4 linked regions of the Lonchura striata genome follow. The protein of the gene in region 4 purifies or fractionates together with the protein of the main gene of each other region. This does not show direct contact. Links are inferred from orthologs where the notes say so. Each region holds a gene or a part of one and is shown on either strand. Other genes may lie near its edges. The genes, in order: SENP7, EHMT2, ADNP and CBX5.

Region 1 (6,918 bases), on a different chromosome or scaffold from region 4:
GTTTGGTAACTGCAGGTTGCCAGACTAGTGTATCTCTGCAGCAGATCATGTCCAGTATTCTCACAGGCTCAGTGGGCTTTAAAATGGAAATTATTTTACTTGCATGTGCCCCTTTGGGGCACACCAACTCCGACTGGCGGGAATGTAGTAGTGTTTACTTCCCTGAAGCATTGTTCAGCTTAACAGTAAGTGTTTCAAGGAGGAAAGTAGATGTTCCAGCTCTTGGAAGATTTCAAACAGTACATGTTACATAGGAGCAAAGATTGGTTACACGTTTTGCTATTCCAGACTTGGCCTTCTAATGAAACTAAGCACTTAAGCAAATGTTTTCCTGATAGTTTAGTCTGATTATAGAGCCAAAACTATAGAATGTTTATTATAGAAAATGATAGATGAGAGCTTGTATACCTTTAAATCCTTAATTCAACTTTAAATTTCACAGCTAGCCAAAGGGTTGTGGCTTAAGGCTTTTAACAAGGCATATATTTCCTAATAGTTAGTGTTTTTCTTCTCAAAACCAAACATAGTTTCAAACTCAGAACACTGTGAATTTCTCCACAGTGAGATGAAGGTGCTTAAGTGATGGAAAGGAGCAGAAGCACTTATGAAAGGTAGAGACCACTATCAAGAACAAACCAGTGTACCTTTATTTATTGCCTGTCTTCTTTCTTGTGCTGCTTCTAGTTGCAGCGGGTGAATTCCTCAAGGCTGTTGCAATCTTGGCTTTCAGCATGGTTTTCAGGTACTTAAAGATGGATTGTAAGCAGCAGGAGGGTGCTAAACTATACTTTTCTGTTCCAGCAGAGAAAGTAGGACAATTTGCTCTCATGAGAAAGCGCACAGTTTTATTTAGGGGTTTACTGTTAGACGCCCATTCTTGGCAGTTTTTGTGTATCCATTCTTGTATTTCTGGATCGTGTCTGCTCTGGTGCTGCACGTTGTGCGTGGAGTCAATGAATGCCACACAATACACTTTATTCATCACCTCACATTTCCTCTGCACCAGCAGATCAACAAACACCAACCCCCCATAGCCATGGGCAATGAAGGCCACGTTCCTGGCTGCACTCTTTGCAATGAAATGATCCCATACATACACGGTATGCTCTTCAGGGCTGCTGCTGCCCCTTTTGGGGATCCAACAGGCAGACTGTGTAAAAGTAAGCGCTTCTTTCCTGGCAGCAAACCTCTTCTTTTCAGCGTTCAGATCAGTGAAATTGTCATTGGGGTTCAGTACAATCACTTCCCAGTGGTTTTGCAGGGCCATTTTGATGAATGGCATTTGTGTTCCATGTTTCAGGCCCTCACTGACAATTGCCCTTCGCCCCCACTGTCCAGCACAAAAAACTCCACGGTCTTGAAGAAGGATAATCAGGCTAGAGGAACTTGTTAGTGCATCCTTGCTCATGAAAAAGAAGCTTCTTGGCTCATCCTCTGTAGCATCAGTAGGAATGTAAACCTTGTGCAGCATGCAGACTCTTTCCAGGAGCTCATAAACATACTGAGTAATAAAATGTCCCAGAACTTCATAGCGTTTATGATTCTGCTCATGTTCATTCTTGTAGTAATTGAAAACAAAGGACTCGTTTGTATCCAGATGCCTCAGTTCCCCTTTTATATTGAAGTCGTAATTTAGTTCCTCTTGATACTCTGAACCCTCTGTTAGTTTCCTCAAACTGAGTTCACCTTGTATTTGTAACCACTACAAATTAAGAAGACTATTATGTCAAAGTAGTGATAGACCACCTGTCTACCCACCCTACCCCCATTAGAATTTAGATTTAAAAGCTGTTACAAATTAAATACTTGTTAATCCAGAGTATTTAATGGTGATGTATAGCAAACTAGCTGCTTCTAAAGCCCCTTAGAGATGTCAATTGTGAAGTTCCAACAGCAGTAACTCCTCTGCCTTTATTTCAGTTTGGTAGTTAAAAATTTCTAAGTAGCATGTTTATTTAAAGATCCGTTTAAGGTAGTTTGAATTAAAGACTTTAAGAAGGAGGCACATGTACATGGTTCACTGTTCACTTGAACAACTTTTATTGTGCTGTCTCCTAGCCATTATCTTGGAACTCCACTGAGTTTCAAGGCCACCTTTGAAATACAAGCCTAGGCAGTTGGAAATAGTCCAAGTGTCATAACTGGATCCCGAGTTTTTAAAGAAAATAAGCTGTGCTTACTAAGGACTTCAACCTTCCCATTGCTTGTGTACCAGCATACTCTCCATGTTCTTCTACCTTCAACTGCACTAGAACAGATATGTACATACATGTATGTGTTTGCTTTGTCTAATCTCTCTAGTTCGTCATTCATCCTTGCAAGCACTTGCCACATGGAAATAGAGGAATGGATGACAAAATAAACTAGCCACTGTGATCCAGGAGCAGGGAAAAAGAAAGTCCAGGCAGCAAACTATCAGGAGGTTGGACTGAGGTCTCCAATTTCAGATCATCTCTAATGATTGATATTAATTATACCAGAAAGTGATTTTTGTGCAGCTGAAAAATTAAGATTAGCAGAACCTTCTGTTTTCTGAGTGATTCCTCAATCTACTACTGACTGTCACTAGCTGTAGAACTGCAAATAAGGTATAACCTTTGGTATGGCCAGTATCCTACCTTTACAGGAGTTTAGTCCTAATGCAGTAATTTATTTTTTTCCTGTAAATTGTCTGAATCAAGTTATATTTGGCAAGTTAGACTGTATACCTTTTAAGTTTTTCTTGCTGTAATTCTGCATTCTAAATCAGCATTGATAGCTGTTTGTACTTCACTGTCTATATATAAATGCAATATTCAAGGCTGTATATGCTGGCAGCTGGTAGCAATTGCTACCTTATTTTTGAAAATTTGCTTTTGGGGGAAACATAATCCCTCTTTCCCTTCCTCCCACTTTTCTATTCAGAGCCTAAAATGCTTCAGATGTATATTCACCTGGTGCTTGTTGCAGCATTTGGCATATTCTAAACACTACTGCAGTATGAGTACTATGTAAGATCCATAAAGATTACTTTGTTTTCCATTTAAAACCATCTCATTCTAGTAAAGCCCAATATTACCGTATCTTCTTCTGTAAAATCTGTCATCATCATAAATGGAAATCTTCTTCACTCTGGGAGTGTAGACAAGTTCTCTGCATGAAAAAAATAAACCCGATCATGGTTTTAATTTTCATTACTTTATGTACTGGGGCGTGTACCTACAAAACCTGTCAGTAGCTGGTAGTTCGTGGCTACCTAAAGCGCTCCAGATAGTTCCAAGTTACAAACTCACCTCTCTCGTTTGTAATTCACACCTGACAGTAAACTAAGGCTAAACCTCGAGTATGAAACTCAACATTTGCCCACACCAGTTTTAATTCCCACGACTAAGAAGAAAACAAAGCTGAAAGCGGCACACAAAACTTACAATTCTGAAGCTGTCCTGAGGGGAAAAAAAAAACAAAAACAAAAAAAAAAAAAAAAAAAAAAAACCAAAAAAAAACAAAAAAAAAAACCCAAAAAAACCAACAGCCACCAATTCTCGTCTCCCCTTAGCCGCATAGGGTTTCTAAGGCCGGCCGGGCAATGAGGGCGCTCCGGGACGGGCCTGGCTGTCCGCCGGGCAAGCGGCATCAGCAGGGCACGGTTCAAACCTGGGCCGGGCCCGGTTCAAACCTGGGCCGGGCACGGTTCAAACCTGGGCCGGGCACGGTTCAAACCTGGGCCGGGCACGGGTCAAACCTGGGCCGGGCACGGTTCAAACCTGGGCCGGGCACGGTTCAAACCTGGGCCGGGCACGGTTCAAACCTGGGCCGGGCCCGGTTCAAACCTGGGCCGGGCACGGGTCAAACCTGGGCCGGGCACGGTTCAAACCTGGGCCGGGCCCGGCTCACGGCTGCTTCCTGCCGAGCACGGCGGTTCCGCCGCTTCTTCGCTGCCTCTCAGCCACTCGGCCCGGCACCGAGCGCGCCCCGAGCGGGTTAAAGCTCGGAGGCCCGAGGGGCGGCGCCCGGCCCGGAAGTGCCGGGGGAAGCTGCGCGGCGGCCCGGTACGGCCCGGTACGGCCCGGTACGGCAAACAGCTCCGGTACGGCCCGGTAAACAGCTCGGGGGTGCGGTGAGTGCTTGTGCCGGCCCCGGCCCGGTACACAGCTCCGGGGTGCGGTGAGTGCTTGTGCCGGTACACGGCTCCGGTACACGGCTCCGGTACGGCCCGGTAAACAGCTCTGGGGTGCGGTGAGTGCTTGTGCCGGTACACGGCTCCGGTACACAGCTCGGGGTGCGGTGAGTGCTTGTGCCGGCCCCGGCCCGGTACGCGGCTCCGGCGGTGCGGTGCGTGTTGGTGCTACCGCCGGGTACGCGGCTCCGGCGGTGAGTGCCGGCTCCGGTACCGGCTCCGGTACACGGCTCCGGTACCGGCTCCGGCACACGGCTCCGGTACCGGCTCCGGCACACGGCTCCGGCACACGGCTCCGGTACCGGCTCCGGTACCGGCTCCGGTACACGGCTCCGGTACCGGCTCCGGTACACGGCTCCGGTACCGGCTCCGGCACACGGCTCCGGTACCGGCTCCGGCACACGGCTCCGGTACACGGCTCCGGTACACGGCTCCGGTACACGGCTCCGGTACACGGCTGTGCTTTTTTATTCCTTTTCACGCTCTAGTGAGACAGAGTGAAAATTTACCAGGGTAGAAATCCATTTGGATTTAAGTGAAATGTGCCACTTTGAGCTTGCTAACATAAGTGAAATACGCTGTTTAGTCTAGTAACTACAGCACTAGCAAAACTACCCCAGCTAAGGAGAAAGAATGCAAATTTCTACACTAAAAGATAAGAGATAAGAAAGACTCCTCAGACCTTGAAACAGACAGCGCAGTGACCCAGGAGTTCTTTCTGTACTTTCTGACAAAAACTGAATACAAGTGTAACTAGCTGTAAGTGTGACTTGAAATTAGCAGAATGAATATGCGTGAACCTATTGTGAAATTCTATGCATATGGAAATTAATAAGGGTAATAAAAAAGGATCGGGAGTTCTCAGAGGTGCACATGTCCATTGAAGGGCAATGAGTCCCCACATGGTCCAGCGCTGTGAATAAACAAACAACCCATTCCATATAAATCTTTATTGGAATTGTGGGGTTTGATTTTTCATCTGCGTTTCACTAGTTTAAGTGTGAACTGCTTATTAGTTGTGTGCTTACAGCAAGGAGTTAATCAGTAAATATCTTAGCTAAGGATAAATTCTAGGACAATTTCATTAACAATTTAGTCTGTGCTGACAATCCAGAGCCTTGCCCAGGTGTGTGTCTATCTTGTATTGTGGCTGTCAATTACTTTTTACCAAGGCCTGTAGTGATGGGGCAAGAGGGGATGGTTATAAATTGAAAGAGGGTAGGTGTAGACTGGACACGAGGAAGAAGTATTTTTTTACAATGAGAATAGTGAGACTGGAACAGGTTGCCCAGAGAAGCAGTGGATGCCCCATCCCTGGGAGTGTTCAAAGTCAGGTTGAATAGTTTTAAGCAAAGTTGAAAGATGTCCCTGCCCATGACAGGATGGCTGAACTATAATATAAAATCTTTTAAACTCCCTATCCAACCCAAGCCATGTTATGATGTTGTTCTTTTGTTCTAGATTGCTCAAAAATTTTCTTATTCTTTCTTAGTGCTTGCTGCTGTGGTTCTACTTCCCTCTTAATAAACTAGAAATTCTTAAATTTCTTTTTTTTTTCTCTTTGTATTTTTTTTCCAGTAGAGAAAACCATGTCAGGACGAACATCAACCTCAAGTCATGTCAGTGTAAGTGTTCCTGAAATTGTCAACATTTTATTTTGAGGCTGTAGGTATCCTAGGGTGTTCTAATTAATTCTTCACTTTGTTGGAACATGCTTTCTTGACAAACTGTTTATTGTGGTAGCAGTCAATACTAATGTCTACTGTTGTACACTTATTAATACGTTATAGGCTTAGCATTTGATTAGGTATAAACAGGGTATTTTCAAAGTTATTTTAAGACCTAGGAATTTTAGAGTAATTTTAAGTAAATAGAAAACAGCTGCAAAACTGTGTAAAACTTTATCTGCAGAGCTGTACTCAGAGGCTTCTTATGCTAGTGTGTGTTTTTTCCTAAAATATCCCTATTAGAAGCAGTTTCTAGCAGTGGGAGTACTGGTGAGAACAGATGGTGGACAAAGGAACTGGTGTGATTGGGTGAGGTCCAGGGGACATAGTGGTTTAAAAATTAGCTTTTTTAATTTCCAGCACTGTGTTTATGCACTTTCTCTGGCCCTTGCTTCTACAGGTGGGAACCTTCAGGAAAGTATTGCTGCTTTAGATGAGTCTGCTGAGTGCCTACGCACATGTATGTGTAGAGTTAGTCACTTTTTATTTGGGAAAAGCTGAGGCAACTGCATACCTTGTGTTTAGCATAGATTCAGACCTCTCTTTGCCTGTTGACTTTGTGCTTGCTCTGTAAGTTAGTTGTGGGTGCTGTAAACCAGCGTCTTCTTAATGAGTGCAAGCATTGGGAAGATGCTGTGTGGTGAGCTGGAAATGTTGCTGGTTTATGTATGTTGTGCTTTTTATCCCTTTCTGTCAGTTGTCTCTTCTTTTTACTGAGTCTGACTTTATCTGTACTTAATGTTGTCTGTTATGTCATTACAGAGGTTATCAGAACCTCTTTAATTTTAAATGCATGTTAAAATTCTAGATAATTGTATGTTCTTTGGACTGTCAAAACATAAGCTGCTAGTCAGGCAGCAGGTGGAGGTCTGAAGTAAGAGATCTGTTCCTAGCCATTACAGTGCAGATCAGAAATAGGCATTCTGACTGATGTGTTTATAGGCCACTTCTAAAACAAAACCAACCAAACAAATTGGAAACAATTTACTTGTAGAAGTTCTTGAATAAAAAAAATGTTGTTTCAATCCTTCTGTG
Region 2 (7,289 bases), on a different chromosome or scaffold from region 4:
CCCTCCCAGTCTCTCCCAGTCCCTCCCAGTCCGTCCCAGTCCCCATAACTTGGCTCCCAGTCACTCCCAGTTCACTCTCAGTCTCTCCCAGTACCTCCCAGTGCCCATAACTTCCCCCCCAGTCCCCCCCAGTCCCCCCAGTCCACTCCCAGTCCCTCCCAGTCCCGCCAGCCCCCCAGCCCCGCCGGCGCCATGTCGTCGTGCGCCGAGGTGCTCCGTTTCCAGCTGCCGGGCCACGAGGCGGCGGCGCTGCGCTCGATGACGCGGCTGCGGGCGGAGGAGCGCTTCTGTGACGTCACCATCGTGGCGCGCAGCCTGCGCTTCCGCGGCCACCGCGTCATCCTGGCCGCCTGCTCGCCCTTCCTGCGCGACCAGTTCCTGCTGAACCCGGCGGCCGAGCTGCGCGTCTCGCTGGCCCACAGCGCCCGCGTGCTGGCCGACCTGCTGCTCTCCTGCTACACGGGCGCGCTGGAGTTTGCCGGCCCGCGACCTCGTCAACTACCTGACGGCCGCCAGCTACCTGCAGATGGAGCACGTGGTGGAGCGCTGCCGCGGCGCGCTGGCGCGCTTCATCCAGCCCGCGCCCGCCGCGCCCGCGCCGCCGCCCAAGCCCGAGGAGGACGAGGACGAGGAGGACGAGGAGGACGCGGCGGGCGACGTCTGCATCGTCAAGGTGGAGCCGGCCACGCGGCGCCGCGGGCGCAGGTGGCCGGCGGTGACGGGCGGCGAGGCGGCGCAGAGCGGCGCGGCGGCGGCGGCGGACGGCGGCGCGGCGCGGCTCGGCGTGGTCAAGGCGTGTTACAGCCTGGCCGAGGACGCCGAGGGGGAAGGTTTGGTCATCTTCCCCGGCGGCGGCGGCCGCGGGCGGCGCGGGCGGCGCCGAGGAACCGCCGGGCGGGCACGCCGGCGCCTCGGCGAGCGCCGCGGCCTCCGCGGCGGCACCGGCGGCACCGGCGGCGCCGGCGGCGGCGTCGCGGTGCGGGAAGTGCGGGGAGAGCTTCCAGGGCGTGGAGAAGCTGGTGTTTCACATGCGGGCGCAGCACTTCGTCTTCATGTGCCCGCGCTGCGGCAAGCAGTTCAACCACAGCAGCAACCTGAACCGGCACATGAACGTGCACCGCGGCGTCAAGTCGCACGGCTGCGGCGTCTGCGGCAAGAGCTTCACGCAGAAATCCACCCTGCACGACCACCTGAACCTGCACAGCGGCGCCCGGCCCTACCGCTGCTCCTACTGCGACGTGCGCTTCGCCCACAAGCCGGCCATCCGCCGGCACCTCAAGGAGCAGCACGGCAAAACCACGGCGCAGAACGTTCTGGAAGCCGGCGGCGCCGAGGGAGGGGTGCTGCTGCGGTGACGCGGGGCGGGGGAGGGCCCGGCGGGGTGGGGGGCGGGGGGCGGGGGGGGTTTGGGGGGTGCTGGGTCCTCTCCCGGGTGAGGAAGGGGGGAGGGGTGGGGGGAGGGGCGGTGAGGGGTGGGGGATGTGCAGGGAGTGACCGCTGCGGTGGTGGGAGTGACCACGGAGTGACCACTGAAGTGGTGGGGAGTGACCCCCCCAAAGTGGAGCAGAGTGACCCCAAAGTGGTGAAAAGTGACCCCAAAGTGGAGCAGAGTGACCCCAGAGTGGAGCAGAGTGACCCCAAAGTGGTGCAGAGTGACCCCAGAGTGGTGGGGAGTGACCACTGGACACTGGATCCCTGCTGGACACTGAGGGAGTGACCGCTGGGGTGGTGGGAAGGAAGTGGGAGTGACCACAGAGTGACCACCGAAGTGGTGGGGAGTGACCCCAAAGTGGTGCAGAGTGACCCAAAGTGATGAAAAGTGACCCCAAAGTGGTGAAAAGTGACCCCAAAGTGGTGCAGAGTGACCCCAAAGTGGTGCAGAGTGACCCCAGAGTGGTGGGGAGTGACCACTGGACACTGGATCCCTGCTGGACACTGAGGGAGTGACCACTGGGGTGGTGGCAAGGAGGCCACAGTGGTCAGGAATGACCCCAAAGTGACCCCAGAGTGGTGGGGAGTGACCACTGGACATTTGATCCCTGCTGGACACTGAGCTGGTGACCGCTGGGGTGGTGGCAAGGAGGTCAGAGTGACCATGGAGTGACCACCAAAGTGGTGGGGAGTGACCCCCAAAGTGACCCCAGAGTGGTTGGGATTGACCACCGGACACCTGGACCCTGCTGGACATTGAGAGTGACCACCGGGGTGACGGTGGCGACCTCAGAGTGACCCCCAAAGTGACCCCCAAAGTGACCCCTGGACATGTGGACACCGTGACCCCGAGTGGGTGACCCCCGGGGTGATGGCAACGAGCCCAGAGTGACCAGAGTGACCACGGAGTGACCAGAGAGTGACCAGAGAGTGATCACAGAGTGACCAGAGTGACCACGGAGTGACCAGAGAGTGACCAGAGAGTGATCACAGAGTGAGCAGAGTGACCACGGAGTGACCAGAGAGTGACCAGAGAGTGATCACAGAGTGACCAGAGTAACCATGGAGTGACCAGAGAGTGACCAGAGAGTGATCACAGAGTGAGCAGAGTGACCACAGAGTGACCAGAGAGTGACCACAGAGTGACCATGGAGTGACCACGGAGTGACCCCTGGACACCCAAATCCTTCCTGGAACAAAGTGGGGAGACCCAAAATGGGGAGGAACAATGACAAAATCAGGGAAATGACCCCAAAATGAGGAGGAATGACCCCAAAATGGGGAGAAAGGACCCCAAAATATGGGGAAAGAACCCAAAATGGTGAGGAAGAGCCCCTGGGTGACAAATTTTGGGGTTCCTGGGCCACCTGAGTGACAAATTTTGGGGTCCCCATTGAAAATCCAGCTGGAAAAAACAGGGAAAAAACCCAAAACCGGCAAAATTTTGGGGATTTTGGGCAAAATGAGCTGAATAAGGCTGATTTTTTTGGGGGCATCCCCCCAAATTTGGCCTCTCTGGGTAAATTCCGGGGCTCTCAAGGTCTCGGGGGATTTTTGGGGGGTCCCCCTTGATGTTTTAGGGATTCCTCCCAGATTTTTGGGGACTCCCCTGATTTTTTTGGGGATTCCCCCAGATTTTTTGGGGGGTTTTGTAGATTTTAGGATTTGGGGACCCCCTTAGGTTGTAGTGAGGGGTGGGGGAGGGGAAGTTTTTGGGGGTGGGGGAGGGATTTGGGGTGGGGGAGGTGACCCCAAAATTGGGGTTTTTTGGCGGGGGGTTTAGGGGGTAGAAAGGAGAATTTTGGGTCCCTTTTGGGGGATTTTGGGGGGGGGGGTGAGACCCGTTTTGGGGTGGGGGAGGGGCGTGGGACCCCTCCCCCAACCCCGGAGGTTTTTTTTGAATTTTTTTTTTTTTGTAATAAATGGATTTTGAAAAAAATTTTAAAAATGGGTTTTTAGTTGTTTTTTGGGATTTGTTCATTTATTTTTGGGGAATTCATTTTTTGTGGGGGTTTCTTTATTTAATTTTGGGATGTATTAATTTATTTGCAATTTATTTTGGGGGAATTACTAATTTTTGTAGGAGTTATTTATTTTTTAGGGTTTTTTTTCTTTTGCATTTATTTTTTGGGATTCATTTTGGGAAGATTTATGAATTTAATTTTTTTGGATTTATAAATTTGTATGGGACTTACTTTGGGGAATTTATTTTTTGGCATTTATTAATTTTTAGAGATTGGTTAATTTTTGGGATTTATTAATTTTTAAGGATTAATGACTTTGACATTTGATTAATTTTTAAAATTTAGTTGTTTTTGGAGGATTTTTTCCATTTTTGGGCATTCATTAATACAACTTTGGGGGTTTATTAATTTATTTGGGATTTATACATTTTTGGGGGGGTTTATTATATTTTAGAATGTACTAGTTTTTGGGGATTGGTTAGCTTTTATTGATTCATTAAATTTCTGGGATTTTTTTGGGCAATTTCTGAATTTTTATGAGTTTTTCACTTTTTCGAATTCATTAATTTTTGTCCTTTCCTCATTTTCGCGGATTTATTCGTTTTCAGCGCCATTTTTTGAGCCCTTTCGGGACAATTTGGGGGGTCCCGAACCACCAGGACCCCCCAAAATTCACATGGGCGTGGCCTAAACACAAAGAGGCGTGGCTTAAGGCAGTGGGCGTGGCTTAAAACGAGGGGAGTGGCTTGGCTCGGTGGGCGTGGCTCACAGCGAGGGGGCGTGGCTTCGCTCGGTAGGCGTGGCCAATCCGGCAACACAAAGCCCGCGCGGTGGGCGTGGCTTCGCCCATAAAAGGCGCTACGCGCTGCGTGCTGACGTCACCGCGCGCGGCGATGGAGGCGGCGGGAGGCGCCGAGGTCTGAGGGGAGGCCGAGCCGGGGCCGCTCTTTGGGGCGTTTTCGGGCGGTTTGGGGTTTTTTTTGGGGGGTTTTGAGAGGTTTTGGGCATTCGGGCGGTGGCTGTGAGCGGGGGGAGGGGCGGGGTCCGCTGGGGGGAGGGGCGCGCCCCTCACGGCGCTCTCTGCCCCTCCCCCTCCCCCTCAGGACCCTCCCGGCGGGACCCTCGTGGTGGAGGCGGCGGGAGAGGCCGGTGAGTGACCCCCCCCAAATTCTTATTCGCACTTTGGTCTCCACTGAGACCCCCCTGAGATCCCCCTCAGATCTGCCTCAGGATCCCCAAAATTCCAATCAGGATCCCAAAATTCCAATCAGGATCCCCAAAATCTCCTCAGGATCCCCAAAATTCCAATCAGGATCCCAAAATTCCAATCAGGATCCCCAAAATCCCCTCAGGGTCCCTCAAAATCCTCTCAGGATCCCCCAAAATCCCCTCAGGACCCCCCAAAATCCCCTCAGGATCCCCAAAATCCCCTTAGGGCCCCCCAAAATCCCCTCAGGTTCCCCAAAATTCCCCTCAGGATCCCCAAAATCCCCTCAGGATCCCCAAAATCCCCCTCAGGATCCCCAAAATCCCCTCAGGACCCCCCAAAATCCCCTCAGGATCCCCAAAATCCCCTTAGGACCCCCCAAAATCCCCTCAGGATCCCCAAATTCCCCTCAGGATCCCCAAAATCCCCTCAGGATCCCCAAAATCCCCCTCAGGATCCCCAAAATCCCCTCAGGACCCCCCAAAATCCCCTCAGGACCCCCCCAAATCCCCTCAGGATCCCCAAAATCCCCTTAGGACCCCCCAAAATCCCCTCAGGATCCCCAAAATCCCCTCAGGATCCCCAAAATTCCCCTCAGGACCCCCCAAAATCCCCCTCAGGACCCCCCAAAATCCCCCTCAAGACCCCCCGAAATCCCCTCATGACCCCCCGAAATTCCGCCCAGACCCCCCCAAAATGCCCCAAACCCCCCCTGACCCCCCTTTTCTCCCCCCCCAGGGCTCCCCCCGGGCAGCCCCTCCCCCTGTGACCCTCCCCCCCCCGGCGGGACCCCCCCCACAGCCGGGGGGGCCCCCCCGGACGAGGAGGGGCCGGGGGGGGGCGGCCCCAGCGATGGGGAGGGGGCGCAGGGGACCCCCCCCGGGGGCGGCAGCGGCTCCAAGGGGCTGCCAGGTGAGGAGGGGGCGTCTGGGGGGGATTTTGGGGGGGCTGGGGGGATCTGGGGTGGGTTTTGGGGGGTCTGGGATGGGTTTTGGGCGAGTCTGGGGCAGTTTTGGGGGGTCTGGGGCAGTTTTGGGGGGTCTGGGATGGGTTTTGGGGGAACTGGGATGGGTTTTGGGGGGTCTGGGGTGGGTTTTGGGGGGTCTGGGGTGCGTTTTGGGTGGTCTGGGGCAGTTTTGGGGGGTGTCTGGGGATTTTGGGGGTCTGGGGCAGTTTTGGGGGGTGTCTGGGGATTTTGGGTGGTCTGGGGGCGCTTTGAGGAGGTTCTGGTGGGGTCTGGCAGGATCTTGGGGACCTGGGGTTTTTTGGGGGATCTAGGGGGGTTTGGGGGTTTTTGGGGAGGGTCTGGGGGGTTTGAGGGGGTCTGGGATGGATTTTGGGGGGTCTGGGGCAATTTTGGGGTGGGTCTGGGGATTCTTGGGGGGATTTGGGGGGTTTGGGGGTGCTTTGGGGGGTTTGAGGGGGGTCTGGGATGGATTTGGGGGGATCTGGGAGGATTTTGGGGGGGTTGGTGACATTTTGGGGGGGGTCTTCATGGCTTCTGGGGTGTCTGGAGGAGATTTTGGGGGGATCTGTTAAATTTTGTGGTGGGGGGAAATCAAATTTGGTTTTTAAATCAACCTGGGGCTGTCTCTGAGCTATTTTTGGGGGGGGTCTCCCCTTTTTCTTGCCCTCAGGCCACGCCACCAAGACCCTGCCGGGCTCCCCGATTTTGGGGGGCGATTTTGGGGGTTCTCCTCCCACCCCCTGCCCCCCCCCAGCCGTGCCAAAATGTCCCTGACGGGGGCGGGGGGCGGCAAAACCCCCCCGGGCCAAAGCCTGGCCCTGCGCCTGCTCAGCCTGCCGGGCTCGGGGGGTCCCGGGGGTCGCCCCCCACCCCGGAGCCCCCCCAGAACCCCCCGGAGCCCCCCCCAGAACCCCCCCGAGCCCCCCAAAATTCACCGAGCTCGCAAAACCATGGCCAAGCCCAGCAACGGACAGGTACGGGCTGGCTCTGGGGGGGTTCTGGGCAGGGGGTGTCAGGGGTTTGGGGGGGTCTGGGGGGTCTGGGGGTTTTGGGGGACCCCCGCTGAGGGTTTGGGGGTGTTTTTTGCCCCCCTCCAGGTGCCCGAGAAGCCGAGGATGTCGGAGATGCTGCACTTCAGGGTGTCCGAGGAGCTCTGCGGGATGGGGCAGCACCACGGTCTGGGGGGGTTTGGGGGAATTTGGGGGGGTCCTGGAGGGGATTTGGGGGGTCTTGAGGAGGTTTGGGGAGTCCTTGCGGGGTTTGAGGGGTGTTGGGGAGGTCCTGGGTGGGTTTGGGGGGTCCTGGGGAGTCCTGGAGGGGTTTGGGAGTGTCCTGGGGAGGTTTTGGGGGGTCTTGGGGAGGTTTGGGGGGTGTTGGGGGATCCTGGGGGGTTTGGGGTGGTTCTGGAAGGGTCTGGGGGTTCAGATTTGGATCTGGGGGTTCAGATTTGAGTCTGGGGTCTCCCTGACCCTCTCTCTTTGCCCCCCCAGACACCCCCAAACGCCCCAAGCTGGATTTTGGCTCCGAGGGGCTCCACAAGCGGCTGCAGCAGCGCCCCAGCCCCCGCGCCAGCACCGAGGTACCCAAAAATCCCCCAAAATCCCCCAAATCCCCCCAAAATCACCCCCAGGGACCCTGCAGCGCCCCAGCCCCTGCACCAGCACCGAGGTACCCAAAACCCCCCAAAATCCCCCCAAAACCACCCCAAAAACCATCCAGG
Region 3 (7,754 bases), on a different chromosome or scaffold from region 4:
AACTCAGCTGCACTAATGACTTTTAAAAATGTGTCCATTTTGCCCATGCAGGTAGAGCAGCTCCAATGGCACCTGTGAAACAACACAGTGGGCAGCTCAGCCCCAGAGCTGTTCCCTGCCTCTCCTGGCACCTCTCCTACAGTCTTTAAACTGGTCCTTCTCAGGTCTGATACTGCTTTGGTCATTCCCAGCAGAATTTTGTTTCCCTTAAACATCTCAAGTAGTAGAGCAAAGATGACTTTCCCTTTCTGGAGATAAAACCCCACAAAAAGCACCCAACACATCTCCTATTAAGTTGCTAAATGTTATTTGCAGCTACCTTAAAACAAACACATTAACCCAGGAGCACCATCTTTTCTTTCATAAAATCACTTGTTTCAACTTCTTTCTTTGCATCAATCAAATCAGCTGCTGTCTTAATAACAAGCTATAAAATATACACTCAGACCATATAACTTATGACTACTGATAAGATCCTGGTATGTTTCTGTATTCCAGGAATTCCACTGTAAACTTCAATGTTTACTTTCAGTATTTATGTTATTACAGAGTGGCAAAGCTGAGCTGGGACTAATGAGCCATTATTCACCTGCAGCGTGTGAGCAGCACAACCCAGCTGCCCCAGAAGACGTGTCCTGCATTTCCCTACAGCTCACGGTGCTCAGAACAGCGCAGGGATCTGGGCAGCACCACCAAGTGAGAGTTAAGTAAGAGTTAAGTGAGAGTTTACACTTAACCCACACGCTGTGGCAAGGACAGGGACCTCTGTGTCAGTGTCAGCAAGCACTTCTGACCACTGGTACCTTCTGCCCTACACACAGAAAATCCATCACGTTCCTCCTCTCAGCCTGAGGAGCACAAACACCTTCCTGGGCGCTGTGTTTGTGCAGCTGGTGCTTAACACTGCAGGGCATGAACTTTCCAAGACAGTCAGGAGTTCCTCTTCGGTCTTCCTCTCCTGTGAAGGCTTTTCACTCCCAAGTGTGGCACTGGGTCTGTCTCACCTACAGGCAAAGGAGGAGCCTTTCACCTTCCCCTGCACATCCAACAGCACCTACCTCCCACAGCCCAACACAAGTGAACCGCAGGCTCTTCATGACAATACACCCTGAAGCATAAATAGTGGTAACCTAAAGAGATGCCTCCTACAAACCTGCCTGATGGACTTCAATTCAAAACAAAAAAAAATTAGTTTTAGTAATGGGGCACTAAAACGGTATCAGTTTTCAATGATCTCAGAGACATCCCCTGGGAGCATCTCATGTCTGCTGGATACCAAAAAGTCACTCTTGAATGCTAACTAAGAAATAATGCTAATTTGAGCAAAGGGCAGCTAACCACCAAAAATAGTGCAAAACCATCCAGCTTGGTATCAATTTTGGAGAACAAATTATTTGTTGTGTGTCAAAAAGGACATCTCTATTTAGACTGAAATTGGAAGTATTTGCTGTGACAGTCTTCAGAAAAGGTAACCATTATGTTACAACCCATCAGCATCTGGTGCAATTCTCTTAACAACAGGGTGTTTCTGGTCTGTTGTCTCTTTTAAGATTTCAGCACATATCATGGTAATGTCCATCTGCTGATATCAAATTACTGCCCAACATCTGCAACTGCACATCTGCAAAGGAACCAAGCTTTGGTTTGGTTTGTTACTAAAAGCAGGAAAAAAAGGCTTTTCTGTTTCTTAAGCAGACTGATCCATCTTTCTCACCTAGAGGGATGACAGCTTGTGATTATGAGTTTGCAGAGTCCTGAAGTGAAAGTTTTCCCGAGTAGGAGACCCTGCAGGAGGGAGCACTGCTGAGGCACACAAGGCTGAGCTGCACAGCAGCCAGCTAAGGTCGGTCCACGCTACCCTGACGGGCGGGAATCCTCTGTCTCCGTTACCTCACACCTCCAGACAGAAACAGGAAATACCAGCAAAAATAAACAGAAACATAGCTAGGGAAAAAACCCTTAACTTAATGAAAAGGAGAGGACGCAAACCTCTTTGACACCTACAAAACGGCTTGAACACACCCAAGGAACAAGGACCACCAAGACCAGCGGTGACGGGGCTGTGCCCCGCGGTCGAGGCTCGCCGCTCCCGGGGGCTGCGGCCACGTGCGCAGAGCCGGGCCAGCCCCGAGCCCGGCCCGCGCCCCGGTGCCCCCGGAGCGCTCCCCTCCCCCGCCGCGGCGGGCCCGGCGCGCAGGGCGCCCCCTGCCGGCTGCCGCCGCGCAGCGCCCCGCCGGGCGCGCTCCGGTTCGGGGGGGCCGCGGCGTCACGCCCGCGGCCGCTGCCGGGGCACCGGGGGTGCGCCGGCACCCCGGCACCGCGCACGCACTGCCACTTGCTTCGGAGCCCCCGCCCGGGCCGCAGCCGCCCGGGAAGGGGGTGCGTGGCACGGGGGCATCTGCCCGGTGCGGCCGCGAAGCTCCGAGTTTGGCGTCCCCCGCCTTTGTCTCGCAAACGGGTGTCGGTAAGCGTAGCCCGGGGCACGGATGGGTGAGGTAACGGCGCTCCGTGCCGCAGCTGCGCCTCGGGATGGCAGCGGCGGGTCCCGCCTTTTCCCGCGGGCAGGGACCCCTCGGCTGCTCCCATTCATCGCATCCCCGGCGCCGCTCCAGCACCAACTCCGCCGCCGGGGCCCGGTGCAGCTGCACCCAGGGATGCCGGACGCGGCCGGCGGCTGGCGGTCCCGCTCCCTCGGGCTGCCGGGACGCGTCCGTGCGGGGAAGGGAGGCGGCCGGGGCCGGCGGCGGGCAGGGAGCAGCGCCGCGGTGCCCGCACCGCCGGGGCTCCTCAACGTGTGTGCGGGCGGGGAGGGGCCGCTGCCAGCTCCGCACGCCCGGTGCGGCGGGCAGGGCGGCGGGCACGGCGCGGGATGCCCGCGGGAGGGAGGGAAGGAGGGAGGGGGCGGTCGGGCGCTGTCCCCGCCCGGGTCGCACCGCGGACCCGCGCTCGCACCTACCTGAGCGGGCTCTCCTCGCAGCGAGGGCGGGCTGGGGCGGGGGGGGCGGGGGGGCGCCGGACCCTCCCCGGCGCCGCCCGGTCCCGGGGCGGGCGGGCGGAGCGGAGCCGCCGGCGGCGCGGGGGAGACAAAGGGGGAGATGACGGGGGAGGGGGTGCAGTGTGCGGGGCGGGCGGTGCGGAGCGGCCCCGGGGGCGGGGGCGGCGGTGACTGGGCCGGGTGGCCGGGGCGGGGGCGCGGGCGGGGGCAGCGCCCGGGCCCCTCAGACAATACAGCCGGGTCCCGCTGCCCACAGCCTGCCCGGGCCAAGATGGCGGCCGAGAAAGAGCGGAAGTGACGCCAGACCCTCATTAGCATACGGGACTCATTGTCCGGCGGGAGGGGAGGGGGCCGCGCCCCGGGGGGGGGGGGCGGGGGAGCCCCGGGGGTCCCCGCGGGACCGGCCCCGCCGCGCCCGCCGCACCGGGCGGGGACGCGACCCCGCCCCTGGGGGGCCCCCGCGGGGCGCACCGGGCCGGCCGCGGCCATGGCGGCGGAGGCGGCGGCGGCAGCGGCGGCGGCGGGATCTACCCCGGCCCCGCTAGGAGGCGCCGCGCCCTGCGCCTGGGTCCGGCGCGGGGATCCCTCCGCCGCGCCCCCGGCCGGGACTACATCCCGTCCTGAGGGGCCGCCGCCGCCGCCGCCGGGGCGGGGGCGCGAGCGGGGCGGGGCCCGCGAGCGCGGGGACGCGCACGTGACCGCGGGGCGGCCCCGGGAGCGCGCGCGGGGCTCGTGCGGCGGCGGCGCCTCAGGGCGGCGACCGGCCCGGCCCCGGTGTCCGGTGGTCCTGCCGTGTCCATCTGCCCGGGGCTGCGAGGATGCTGAAGGGCCTGGAGCGTCTCCGTGCCCAGGAAAGGCCGAGCGAGCTGGGGGTGCCCAGCCTGGACGCGAGCCCCAGTGAGAGGGGGCTCCGCCCTGGCTGTCCCCGGGTGCCGGAGGGCAGAGCAGGCCCGGGCTCTGCTCCGGGGCCCAGCCGTGGCACCAGAGCCAGGGCAGGGCCTGAGCCCAGCAGTTCCCCTGCCCAGGAGGCAGAACTGCCCTGGGCAGTGCCAGCCCTGAGCAGAGGCCAGAGAGGCTCTGGGGTCTGATTGCAGAGCAGTCTGGACACAGGCCTGTGCCACGGGCTCTGGGGTGGCCCTGCTGGAGCAGGGAGGTGGCACCGGCTGAGCCACTGTGTCCCTGCCAGCTGGACTGGCTCTGGGGTTGTGCCCATCGCAGCTCGGCCAGGGCAGCCTCACTGGGACACCCTTTGGCAAAGTTGCCATGGGCTGGGACGGTGGCACCGTGAGGCGACACGAGCTATGTGCTCTACATGCTCTGAAATCCAAATTCATCACAGAACCATAGGATATGCTGAGCTGGAAGGCGCTCACCAGGACTGTTGAGTCCAGCTCCTGGTCCTGCACAGGACAACCCCAGGAATCCCTCCATGTCCCTTCAGACTTTGGGTTAACACCCTGAGAACGAGCCAGCGCCCAAAGGCGGGACTGTGATCTTTCTGGTGAGCCCTGTGCACGTGTGGTCACACACACCTGTGGATGCCCCTGGACATCCCATTTGCAGCAGGAATGTTGGATCAGGACAAGAGCCCACATGTGAGTCTTCCTTGTGGATCCTGACGCTGTTCAAGGTCTCTTTAACAAATGAGGATGATTTCTAAAAACCCTTCTAGGAGTGACAGGAATGGATGGCTTTTGTTACTTCAGAAAGACACAAACACTTGGAGGAGGAAGTAAAGTGTAATTCCCTCCATCCTCAGTGTTCACACCCTTTCTGGTTCAGTGACACGTTGGAGTTTAAGCTCACAATGCTAGAAAGGAAATTTGACTCCTTGCTTGAAGTGCAGAAGCAAAGTTGTCACCAGTTCTTTAGACTTCATGTAACTTAAGGATCTCCTGCATTTACAGGTGACTGGTGTCCTGACAATCTGTACATGCTGTTTATCACAATTCACTGAAGTAGCGTTTATGAAGAATTTAGTGATGTTTTGTTCTGTCTCTGAGGCTGCTTTGAGACTTTCTGACTCAGTGGGACATAGAAATCCCCTGCTTGTGGCTGCAAGTCAACCTGGGTTTCACTGGCTGCTCCCATGGCATCTTCACATCAGTGGTCATAAGAAGTCGGGAAGTCACAAAATCTTTTTACATGGAAATGTAAATTAAAAACCCAGGAAATACACAAAACTTGGAAACCAAAGCTAGTGCTTTGGTGTTAAAGAGCCCCTAGAACTGAGGTACTTTGAGAGTTCCCTGAGACTTGTGTGGAATCTGTCTCAAGGAAGGAAAGCAAAAAGAGCTGGTTTGGTTTTCCTATAATAACATCATTTTGCCTTCCAAGAGTCGATTATTTTTCTCTGATGGCACAATTGTTGAAGCATGTTATTGAAGCATGTTGGGGAACATTCTGAAACGTCACTAAGGCAGGACCATACTCAGAAACTCTCAATTAACTTCATGGCTGCTTGAGCCAGTCTGCTCCTGCCTAAAATACACAGCCCCACACCTGAGCACCTTCCTATACGAACACTATTTAATTTGTGCCTTACCACTGGCCACTTTTTAGCCATCACTTAAGATAAAAAATACACCAGCTCCAGAAGAACAACCCACAGACCTGCTCTAAGGGCTGGATTTGAGTAAGCAGAAGTGTCTGAAGGTTGGAGGAACCGAGTGTAAGTGGGATGTGATAATGCAGCTGGAGATAGAAATGATATTTGAGAGATATTTACAGGAGTGAGCACAACACAAAGATCTGTGCAAAGGACACAACAGCTCAAACACAGAGACCTGCAATTCAGACAGGAGAGCTGAACAGGCTGTTGGGCATCATTCCCTGCCCTGAATTCTGGGAGCAAGTGAAGGTATCTGAGTAAATTTGTGTCTTGCTGTATGTACTTACCAGAAGACAAGGTAAGATAAGGTTGGGATGGAAATAGAGGTGGATAGAGTTTCCCCAGAGCAGTAATATCAAGGAGTTTCAGCTGGGAACACTCCCAGCCATGATGTTGGTACTCAGTCCATGATTACAGTGTGGAAAAACATTTGTGAAGAGTGTAGAAACTGGAATTTGGCATGGGAGGGGATGAAATTAGACCCAGATAGAAAGGAGAGTGTCAGGAGGCAGAAATATTCAGTGCATCAGAGGGGTGCTGCAGGCACCCCTCTGATTTTAGGGTAGGGGAGAGAAAGGGAGGGAAAGGAGATGTGGCAGCAGAAGCTGGAGCAGAAGGGAGCCACTGCCTGCCTCGGGGTAAAATCTACAGTGACAGGGCTGAGAAAATGGGGGAAGGATGAGAGGGTGTGAAAGCAGTCATGAGTGATGGACAAGATCTTGTTCTCATTCAGCTCAGGAGGGTTCTTGTGGTGGTTTGAAGTGTGACAGCTGTCAACAGGGATTTGGGGAAGAAAGATGAGAATTTACAAAGTTTGTGTGGAAAGATTGATAGTAAAGCTAAAATTCAAGCAGTGCAGAAGAAGGAGAAAAGGAGTTTTGACATCATTTTTCTCCTGTGTGTACAGAGTGAACAAAATGAAACAGAAGTTGATGCTAATAGTCTTAATCTACTTTTTCTATTGCAGAAGTGGGTATTGTTTCTAACAATACAGCCACTGGAAAAATCAGTAAAATCACTGCATTGTAAGAGACGAAACACTTCACACCAGAGGGGAGGCAATTAGCACTCCCAAGCTGAATAGCTTTAATTGCACATGCGTTGTGCTGCTGCTTCAGGTCAAAACTGTGCCCAGATTCATCCTACTACTAGCTCAGTGTCATGCTTGGGTTTTATTCAAATACAAAATAATTAAGATGACTATTGATGCTTTTACACACAACATAATTAATTATATAATAAATACAAGTAAGTTAATCAGCATTAGGACCACTGGTCTCACAATGATCTTTAAGACCCACTAAGCCACCCAGCTCCTGTGCTGATCAGACACCTGCCAGCATTGGTGCCAGTTTCTGTTGAACAGCCAGTGCCACCACCTTGCAGGAATAACTTCCCATTTTATGCTGTCTGCTTTGTTGAAATCCCTCTCAATGGCTAAGTTTTCAGATCTAGTTTTGGATTAAACGGTGTAATTAATTTTTCTCTCTCTGGTTCCAATATATTTTCCCCTGAACAGTGACAACCAGTCTATAAGAAAGTTTTTAATTGCCACAATGCCTGGAGAGAGGGGTACAACATGGCAGGAACAGAGGAGGAGATGATGCTCAAAGTTGCTGTGCTTGGCACTAGTTTCTTTCTTTGCCCATGTCTCCTGCAGCATGGCACAGGGGAGGTAATAAACAAGTTCTAAAGCAAGGAAGAGTTTGATGAGCAGTCCTGTCCCCTGCACACCCCCTGCTCCTGCTGCTCCTGGTATCAGCATTTGCCTGAGCTCTGGAATGCCAGCCACTGAAATGTGTGGCTGAAGTCATCCCTGCACTGAACTCAGCAGGCAATCTGTCACTGAATTCATTTCTGCCAAGATTCCAATCCAGGCTTGTACTGATAGACCCTCGAATAAATATTATTGATTAGTCATCATTATTTTTTACTGTTGATGTGCAGAAGGTTGTGGAGCCTTGCAGTTGGATTTCTGCACAGTCCACTGGAAGATCTGTTTGATTAGAGTGTTTATATTGGCAGCGAGGTTCATCTTTGTTGCAGGCTGAGGTTAAAGTCTCAGATTTTGTCAAAAACCCAAAGCAAAAGAGAAGCCAACTCCCCTGAACCTCAGAGCAGAAAAATCCTCACCAAAGAGAGCAGCTA
Region 4 (7,284 bases):
CCACCACATACTCCTCCTCCTCCCCCGAGGACGAGCTGTCGGCGGCCCGGCGGCTCCTCCTGCCCATAGCGCAGCCACCGCTCTGGGGACAGGGACAGGGACAGTGACAGGAGTGTCACCGTGGCTCAGGGAATGTCACCGTGGGACGTGGCACTGCCCTGCTCCTCCTGCCCATGGCGCAGCCACCGCTCTGGGGACAGGGACAGTGACAGGAGTGTCACCATGGCTCAGGGAATGTCACCATGGGACGTGGCACTGCCCTGCTCCTCCTGCCCATGGCACAGCCACCGCTCTGGGGACAGGGACAGGGACAGTGACAGGAGTGTCACCATGGCTCAGGGAATGTCACCATGGGACGTGGCACTGCCCTGCTCCTCCTGCCCATGGCACAGCCACCGCTCTGGGGACAGGGACAGGGGACAGTGTCACCATGAGTGTCACCATGGCTCAGGGAATGTCACCATGGGACGTGGCACTGCTCCGGCAGCTCCTCCTGCCCATAGCGCAGCCACCGCTCTGGGGACAGGGACAGGGACAGTGACAGGAGTGTCACCATGGGTCAGGGAATGTCACCGTGGGACGTGGCACTGCCCTGCTCCTCCTGCCCATAGCGCAGCCACCGCTCTGGGGACAGGGACAGTGTCACCATGAGTGTCACCATGGGTCAGGGAATGTCACCATGGGACGTGGCACTGCTCCGGCAGCTCCTCCTGCCCATGGCGCAGCCACCGCTCTGGGGACAGGGACAGGGACAGTGACAGGAGTGTCACCGTGGCTCAGGGAATGTCACCGTGGGACGTGACACTGCCCTGCTCCTCCTGCCCATAGCGCAGCCACCGCTCTGGGGACAGGGACAGTGTCACCATGAGTGTCACCATGGGACGTGGCACTGCTCCGGCGGCTCCTCCTGCCCATGGCGCAGCCACCGCTCTGGGGACAGGGACAGTGTCACCATGGGTCAGGGAATGTCACCATGGGACGTGGCACTGCCCTGCTCCTCCTGCCCATGGCGCAGCCACCGCTCTGGGGACAGGGACAGGGACAGGAGTGTCACCATGGGTCAGAGAGTGTCACCATGGGTCAGGGAATGTCACCGTGGGACGTGGCACTGCCCTGCTCCTCCTGCCCATAGCGCAGCCACCGCTCTGGGGACAGGGACAGGGATGTCACCAGGGCACAGGGATTGTCACCATGGGTCAGGGAATGTCACACAGGGCCCCTCCTGCCACTGCTCTGGGGGCACGGATAGGAATGTCACCAGATTTGGGGACACCTGGGGATCCCCAGGAGGGATTTCGGGACATCCTGGGGATCCCCAAAAGGGATTTGGGGTAATTTTGGGATCCCTAAGAGGGATCTGGGATCATTTTGGATCCCACAAAAGGGATTTGGGATCATTTTGGGAGCCCCAAGAGGGATCTGAGGTCATTTCGGGATCCCCAAGAGGGATTTGGGATAATTTTGGGTCCCACAAAAGGGATTTGGGGTAATCCCCAAGAGGGATTTAAATTATTTTGGGATCCCCAAGAGTGATTTGGGGTTCCTTTGGGACCCCAAAAGAAATTTGGGGTAATTTTGGGATCCCCAAGAGGGATTTGGGATAATTTAGGGACGCCCAAAAGGGATCTGGGGTAATTTTGGGATCCCCAAAAGGGATCTGGGGTAATTTTGGGATCCCCAAGAGGGATCTGGGGTCACCTCAGGATCCTCAAAGTGAGACCCCAAGGGGGAGGCACAGGAGGGGCTGATTCCTAAAAACCCAGCGGGGATTTAGGCACAAAGAAACGTGATTTGGGCTAAAATCTCCTAAAAAAAAAAACAACGCAAAACCCAGAGAATTCAGGCAGAGCGAAACGGAATTTGGAATAAATCCCCAAAAACTGAAGGGGGATTTGGGAGCAGAGAAATGGAATTTGGGCTAAACCCCTTAAAAATCAAGATTAAAAAAAAGAAAAAAAAAAAAAAAGACGCTTTAAAAGCCCTCAAATCTGTTTTTTCTCCCCCCTTAGGGCAGGATTTGAGCGGATTTCTCCCTTTACACACAGCCCGAGGGGAATCCCTCGCTCCCGGCCGGAATTTCCTGCCGGGCTCCCGGCGGGGTTCCGGGCGGGCTCCTGAGGGAGAAGGCGCCGCTTTGGGTGGGAAAAGGCCAATTTTGGGAAAATCCGCGCCCGGGAATGCTGCGGGAACAAAGGGAGGGCGGCACGCGGAGGCCCGGGAGCGCCTGGCCGGGGCCGAGGCCGCGGCTGTGAGGGGAAAGCCGCCGCTGCGGGGCGGGGCGCGACGCCCCGAGGGCCCAGGCCGCGGTTTTGGGGTGAAAAGCCGCAGATTTGGGCTCGGAGCGCCCCGAGCTGAGGGGCCCGGCCGCCGGGCCTGGGGGCGGGGCCAGCAGCGCGCCGCCGCACGCCATTGGTCAGAGCCGCCGCGCGCCGCGCCCTGATTGGCAGCGCGCCCCACCGCGCGCCGCGGCCCCGCCGCGCGACTATTGGGCGGCGGAACCGTCACTCCGAGCGCCGCCCCGCCTGCCCTGCGCCGCTATAGGTCAGCGCGCCTGTCACTCGGCTCGCCGCCCCGCCTCCCGCTCGCTGCTATTCAACACCGCGCCCGCCACTCCCCGCGAGGCCCCGCCTCCCGCCCGCACCCATTGGCCGCCGCGCCTGCCCGTCACGGCGGCGGGCCCGCCCCCGCGCTGCCGCCCGTCCATCCGCCGCCCGCCGCCGGCGCTACCTGCGCGGAGAGCGGCTCCGGCGCGGGCCCGTCCGCCGCGGTCTGGCCGCCCCTCCGAGCCGCCGCCGCTCCGCGCTCCGCCCGCCAAAACCGCCCGCAGCGCGCAGGCGCCGCCGGCGGCGCTCCGCGCATGCGTCCGCCCGCCTTTTCCCCCCCCTCTCCCCAAAGCCCACCGCGATGGGCGCATGCGCTGCCGCGGCCGCACCTTGGGGCCGGCGGGCGGGCGGCCTCTGCTCGCCGCCGCCGCCGGGAGTCGCCGCCGCCTCCCCGCTCTGCGCCCGCCGCGCCGCGCTCGCCGAGCTGCGCTGGGCCCGCCGCCGCCGGCGCTGATGGACGGCCGCGCCCGCCAATGGGCACCGTCCCCCCGCTCTCCCAGCCAATGAGCGCCTGGCGAGGGGCGGGCCCTGTTTCTTTCCAACCAACCAGCGGCGCGCCGGGGAGTCTCCGGGCCGGAGCGGGAAAAGCCACGCGGGGCGTGTCGGCAGCGCTTCTCCCCAATCCCCGCGGCGCAGGGGCGGGACGTTTCGGCGCGCAGCCAATCAGCGGCGGCGCGGGGGGCGGAGCGCGGCGAGGCGGCCAATGGGGCGGCGGCGTTGTGAGGCGGCAGCCAATGGGCGGCGGCGCGGGGGCCGCGCGGGCGGCGGGGGCGGCGGGGTGAGGCGGCGGCGCTCGCGGCGCTCGGCCCCTTTCCGTGTCGGCCCTCGCAGAGGGAGCATCGCGCGCCGCCGCCACCGCCCCGCGCCGCCGCCATGGCCAAGGCCGAGGTCAGCAGCGGCGCCCGCCCCGCTCCCCGCCGATCCGCGCGCCCCGTTGTTTGTTTTTTTTTTTTTTTTTTTTGTTGTTTTTTTTTTTAACCCATCCCCGTTCCCTCCCCCCCGCCCCCGCCGCCGCCGCCGCCGCCTGGCGGGCCGCGGGACCTCACTGCGCCTGCGCGCGGCGCCCCCCCCTCATCCCCTCAGCCGCGCAGGCGCCATTGTGTGTGGGGGGGGTCACACACAGAGCCCCCCCTCCCCTCCCCCTTCCCCTCCCCCTTCCCCTCCCCTCCCCCCTCAGGTTCCATTTTTGGGGGGGGTCCCACAGAGCCCCTCCCCCCCCCCCCCCAAGGTCCATTTTCGGGGGGGGGTCCCACAGATTTCGCCCCCCTCAGGCGCATGCGCGACCCCCCCTCACCCCGCGCGCGCTCCCGCGGCCACGTGCGCGCGCTTTGTGTCACGGGGGGGGGGGGTCTCAGGAATAACGGGGGGGGGAAAGAAGGGGATGGGGGGGTGTTGGAATTTGGGCTTGAAATTAAAGCTGGGGGGGTGGGGGAGTTGGAGTTTAGGGTTGGGGGGGGCAAAATTAGGGGAGGGGGGTCAGGAATAGGGGCTGGGGGCGCTGAGGGGGCTGAGGGTGCTGGTAGGCCCCAAAATTTGGGGTTGGGGGTGTTGGAATTTGGGGTGTGGGGCCTTTGTGGGGTTTAATATTAAAACTGGGGGGGTGGGGGGTCGGAATAGGGCTGGGGGCCCTGAAGGGGCTGGGGGCGGTGAGGGGGCTGGTAGGCCCCAAAAATGGGGGTTGAGGGAGAGATTTGGGGGCCTGGAGTTGGGATTTTGGGGTTGGGGGTGTTGGAATTGGGGATGTGGGGGCTTGGGGGGGTTTAAAATGAAAGCTGGGGGGTTTGGGGGGGTGGGGGGTCAGAAATAGGGGCTGGCGGCGGTGAGGGTGATGGTAGGCCCAAAAAATGGAGGTTGGGGGAGAGATTTGGGGGCCTGGGACATTGAGAAATTTGGGTTGGGGGGGTTTGGGGGTCTGGTGGCCCCCCCAGATGGGAACTGGGGATGCTCAAGGTTCAGGTGGCCCCAAAAATTGGGGATGGGGGAGGTCAGGGAGGGTCCCCAGGGGGCTGGGGGGGGATTTGTTGGGGGTGGGTTTGGGGTGTCAGGAGCTGCTTGGGAGGGGAGGGTCCCAGTTGGGTTTTTTTGGGGTCCCAGGGGCGATTTGGGGGTGTCAGGATCTCTCTGGAGCTTTGGGGGGACATTTTGGGGTGTGAGGGGGAGTTCAGGAGGGATTTTGGGATGGGACGGGGGTCCCAAGAGGGATTTTGGGGTGTGAGGAGCACTGGAGGGGTCCCATTAGGGATTTTGGGTTGTCAGTCCCCCCGGGAGCTGGGTGAGGGGGTTTTGAGGGGGTTTTGGGGTTCCCCAGCCTCCCCAGAGCTGGGTGAGGAGGTTTTGGGGGTCCTCATCCCCCAACAGGAACTGTGTGAGGGGGTTTCGGGGTGTCAGGCCCCTGTGAGCTGAGTGTGGGGGTTTTGGGGGTGTTTTAGGGGGGATTTTTGGGGTGTTTTAAGGGGTGTTTTAAGGAGTGTTTTAGGGAAGGTTTAGGGGGTGTTTTAGGGGGGATTTTTGGGGTGTTGTAAGGGGTGTTTTGGGGGTGTTTTAGGGGGAGTTTTAGGGGGGATTTGGGAGTGTTTTAAGGGGTGTTTTAGGGGAGGTTTAGGGGGTGTTTTAGGGGGGATTTTGGGGGTGTTTAGGGGGTATTTGGGCTTCCCACCCCCTCCGTGGGGTTCCGGGGTGCCCTGAGCCCGTCCCCCCGCAGTCCCCGAAGGAGCCGGAGCAGCTCCGGAAGCTTTTCATCGGGGGCCTGAGCTTCGAGACCACGGACGAGAGCCTGCGCAGCCACTTCGAGCAGTGGGGCACGCTCACCGACTGCGTGGTGAGGGGCAGGGGGCCTGAAATGGGGCTGGGGGCCCTGGAAACGGCACTGACTGCAGGAAAAACGGGGCTGGGGGCCCTGAAATGGGGCTGCGGGCCCTGGAAACGGCACTGACAGCAGGAAAAACGGGGCTGGGGGCCGTCTGAAATGGGGCTGGGGGCCTGAAATGGGGCTGGGGGCCCTGGAAACGGCACTGAGAGCAGGAAAATGGGGCTGGGGGCCCTGGAAACGGCACTGAGAGCAGGAAAATGGGGCTGGGGGCCCTGGAAATGGCACTGAGAGCAGGAAAAACAGGGCTGGGGGCCGTCTGAAATGGGGCTGGGGGCCTGAAATGGGGCTGGGGGCCCTGGAAACAGCACTGAGAGCTGGAAAATGGGGCTGGGGGCCCTGGAAACGGCACTGAGAGCAAAAAAATGGGGCTGGGGGCCTCTGAAATGGTGCTGGGGGCCCTGGAAACAGCACTGAGAACAGGAAAATGGGGCTGGGGGCCTCTGAAATGGGGCTGGGGGCCCTGAAATGGGGCTGGGGGCCCTGGAAACGGCACTGAGAGCAGGAAAAACAGGGCTGGGGTCCCCAAAAATGGAGCTGAGGTCCCTGAAATGGGACTGAGATCTCCTGGAGTAGAGCTGGGGTCACTAAAAGGGCACTGTGATCCCTAAAACCAGCCCTGGGATCCCTGAAAATGGCCCTGAGACCCTTAAAAACGTCATGGGATCCCTAAAAATGGAGCTGGGATGACAAAAATGGCCCTGGGATCCTCAAATCCCTCCCTGGGGTCCCTGAAATCAGCCCTGGGACCCCAAAACCAGCCCTGGAGCACCAAAACCAACCCTGGGGCACCAAAACTGACCTGGGACCTTTAAAATCAGCCCTGGGACCCCAAAACCAGCCCTGGGGCACCAAAACTGATCTGGGACCTTTAAAATCAGCCCTGGGACCCCAAAACCAGCCCTGGGGCACCAAAACCGACCTGGGACCTTTAAAATCAGCCCTGGGACCCCAAAACCAGCCCTGGGGCACCAAAACTGACCTGGGACCTTTAAAATCAGCCCTGGGACCCCAAAACCAGCCCTGGGACCCCCTGAACCCAGGCCACCCTCTGGCACCTCCAGACTGCGCCCCTGGGTGCCACAGCCCCCCGAGTGTGTGTGACCCCTCACCTGTGTGTGCCACCTGTGTGTGTCACCTGTGTGTGTCACCTGTGTGTCCCTTTTTGTGTGCGTGACCTCCGTGTGACCCTTCACGTGTCACCTGTGTATTTCTTTGTGTGTGACGTGTGTGACCTTTCACCTGTCACTTGCATGTGTCCTCTCACCTGTGTGTGCCACATGTGTGTCCCTTTCTCTGTGTGTGACCTGTGTGTGACCCTTTGCGTGTGTGTGTTCTCACCTGTGTCACCTGCGTGTGTGTCCCGTGTGTCCCTTTCCCTGCGTATGATCCGTGTGTCACCTGTGTCACCTGTGTGTGTGTCCCGTGTGTCCCTTTCCCTGCGTATGATCCGTGTGTCACCTGTGTCACCTGCGTGTGTGTCCCGTGTGTCCCTGCCCTGTCCCCTGTGTCCCTGTCCCCAGGTGAGACAGGACCCCAGACACAAAACGCTCGTGGGCGTTTGGGTTTGTCACATCCCTGCCCGTGTCCCCGTGTCCCTGTGTCTGTCCTCGTGTCCCTGTGTCTGTCCCCTCAGTGTCCCCGTGTCCCCAGGTGATGCGGGACCCCAACACGAAGCGCTCGCGGGGCTTCGGCTTCGTCACCTACTCGTCGGTGGAGGAGGTGGACGCCGCCATGAACGCGCGGCCACACAAGGTGGACGGCAGGGTGGTGGAGCCCAAACGGGCCGTGTCCAGAGAGGTGAGGGACACTGGG

The links.
Region 1: the proteins of CBX5 (region 4) and SENP7 purify together in Homo sapiens (affinity purification with mass spectrometry; 3 studies listed by BioGRID and IntAct, with this or other methods). This does not show direct contact. The link is inferred for Lonchura striata from reciprocal best matches to the Homo sapiens genes CBX5 and SENP7.
Region 2: the proteins of CBX5 (region 4) and EHMT2 purify together in Homo sapiens (affinity purification with mass spectrometry; 3 studies listed by BioGRID and IntAct, with this or other methods). This does not show direct contact. The link is inferred for Lonchura striata from reciprocal best matches to the Homo sapiens genes CBX5 and EHMT2.
Region 3: the proteins of CBX5 (region 4) and ADNP purify together in Homo sapiens (affinity purification with mass spectrometry; 4 studies listed by BioGRID and IntAct, with this or other methods). This does not show direct contact. The link is inferred for Lonchura striata from reciprocal best matches to the Homo sapiens genes CBX5 and ADNP.

Annotation. Positions count from the first base shown.
Region 1 is NC_134604.1:696,199-703,116, reverse strand, and holds the start of SENP7 (sentrin-specific protease 7), read left to right. Parts: upstream 1-3,912; 5' UTR 3,913-4,066; intron 4,067-5,734; 5' UTR 5,735-5,745; coding exon 5,746-5,781; intron 5,782-6,918. Other genes in the region: putative protein ARB2BP, read right to left, coding at 647-1,702, 3,059-3,085. UniProt on the Homo sapiens protein: Protease that acts as a positive regulator of the cGAS-STING pathway by catalyzing desumoylation of CGAS. Desumoylation of CGAS promotes DNA-binding activity of CGAS, subsequent oligomerization and activation.
Region 2 is NC_134631.1:100,622-107,910, forward strand, and holds the start of EHMT2 (histone-lysine N-methyltransferase EHMT2), read left to right. Parts: upstream 1-4,288; coding exon 4,289-4,312; intron 4,313-4,498; coding exon 4,499-4,544; intron 4,545-5,340; coding exon 5,341-5,527; intron 5,528-6,239; coding exon 6,240-6,543; intron 6,544-6,666; coding exon 6,667-6,745; intron 6,746-7,059; coding exon 7,060-7,148; intron 7,149-7,289. UniProt on the Homo sapiens protein: Histone methyltransferase that specifically mono- and dimethylates 'Lys-9' of histone H3 (H3K9me1 and H3K9me2, respectively) in euchromatin.
Region 3 is NC_134619.1:1,236,172-1,243,925, forward strand, and holds the start of ADNP (activity-dependent neuroprotector homeobox protein), read right to left. Parts: upstream 3,010-7,754; 5' UTR 2,957-3,009; intron 2,465-2,956; exon of another isoform or gene 2,325-2,464; intron 1,898-2,324; exon of another isoform or gene 1,715-1,897; intron 1-1,714.
Region 4 is NC_134629.1:8,441,672-8,448,955, forward strand, and holds the start of CBX5 (chromobox protein homolog 5), read right to left. Parts: upstream 3,006-7,284; 5' UTR 2,933-3,005; intron 2,813-2,932; exon of another isoform or gene 2,728-2,812; intron 83-2,727; 5' UTR 68-82; coding exon 1-67. Other genes in the region: HNRNPA1 (heterogeneous nuclear ribonucleoprotein A1), read left to right, coding at 3,477-3,491, 5,305-5,421, 7,123-7,269. UniProt on the Homo sapiens protein: Component of heterochromatin that recognizes and binds histone H3 tails methylated at 'Lys-9' (H3K9me), leading to epigenetic repression. In contrast, it is excluded from chromatin when 'Tyr-41' of histone H3 is phosphorylated (H3Y41ph).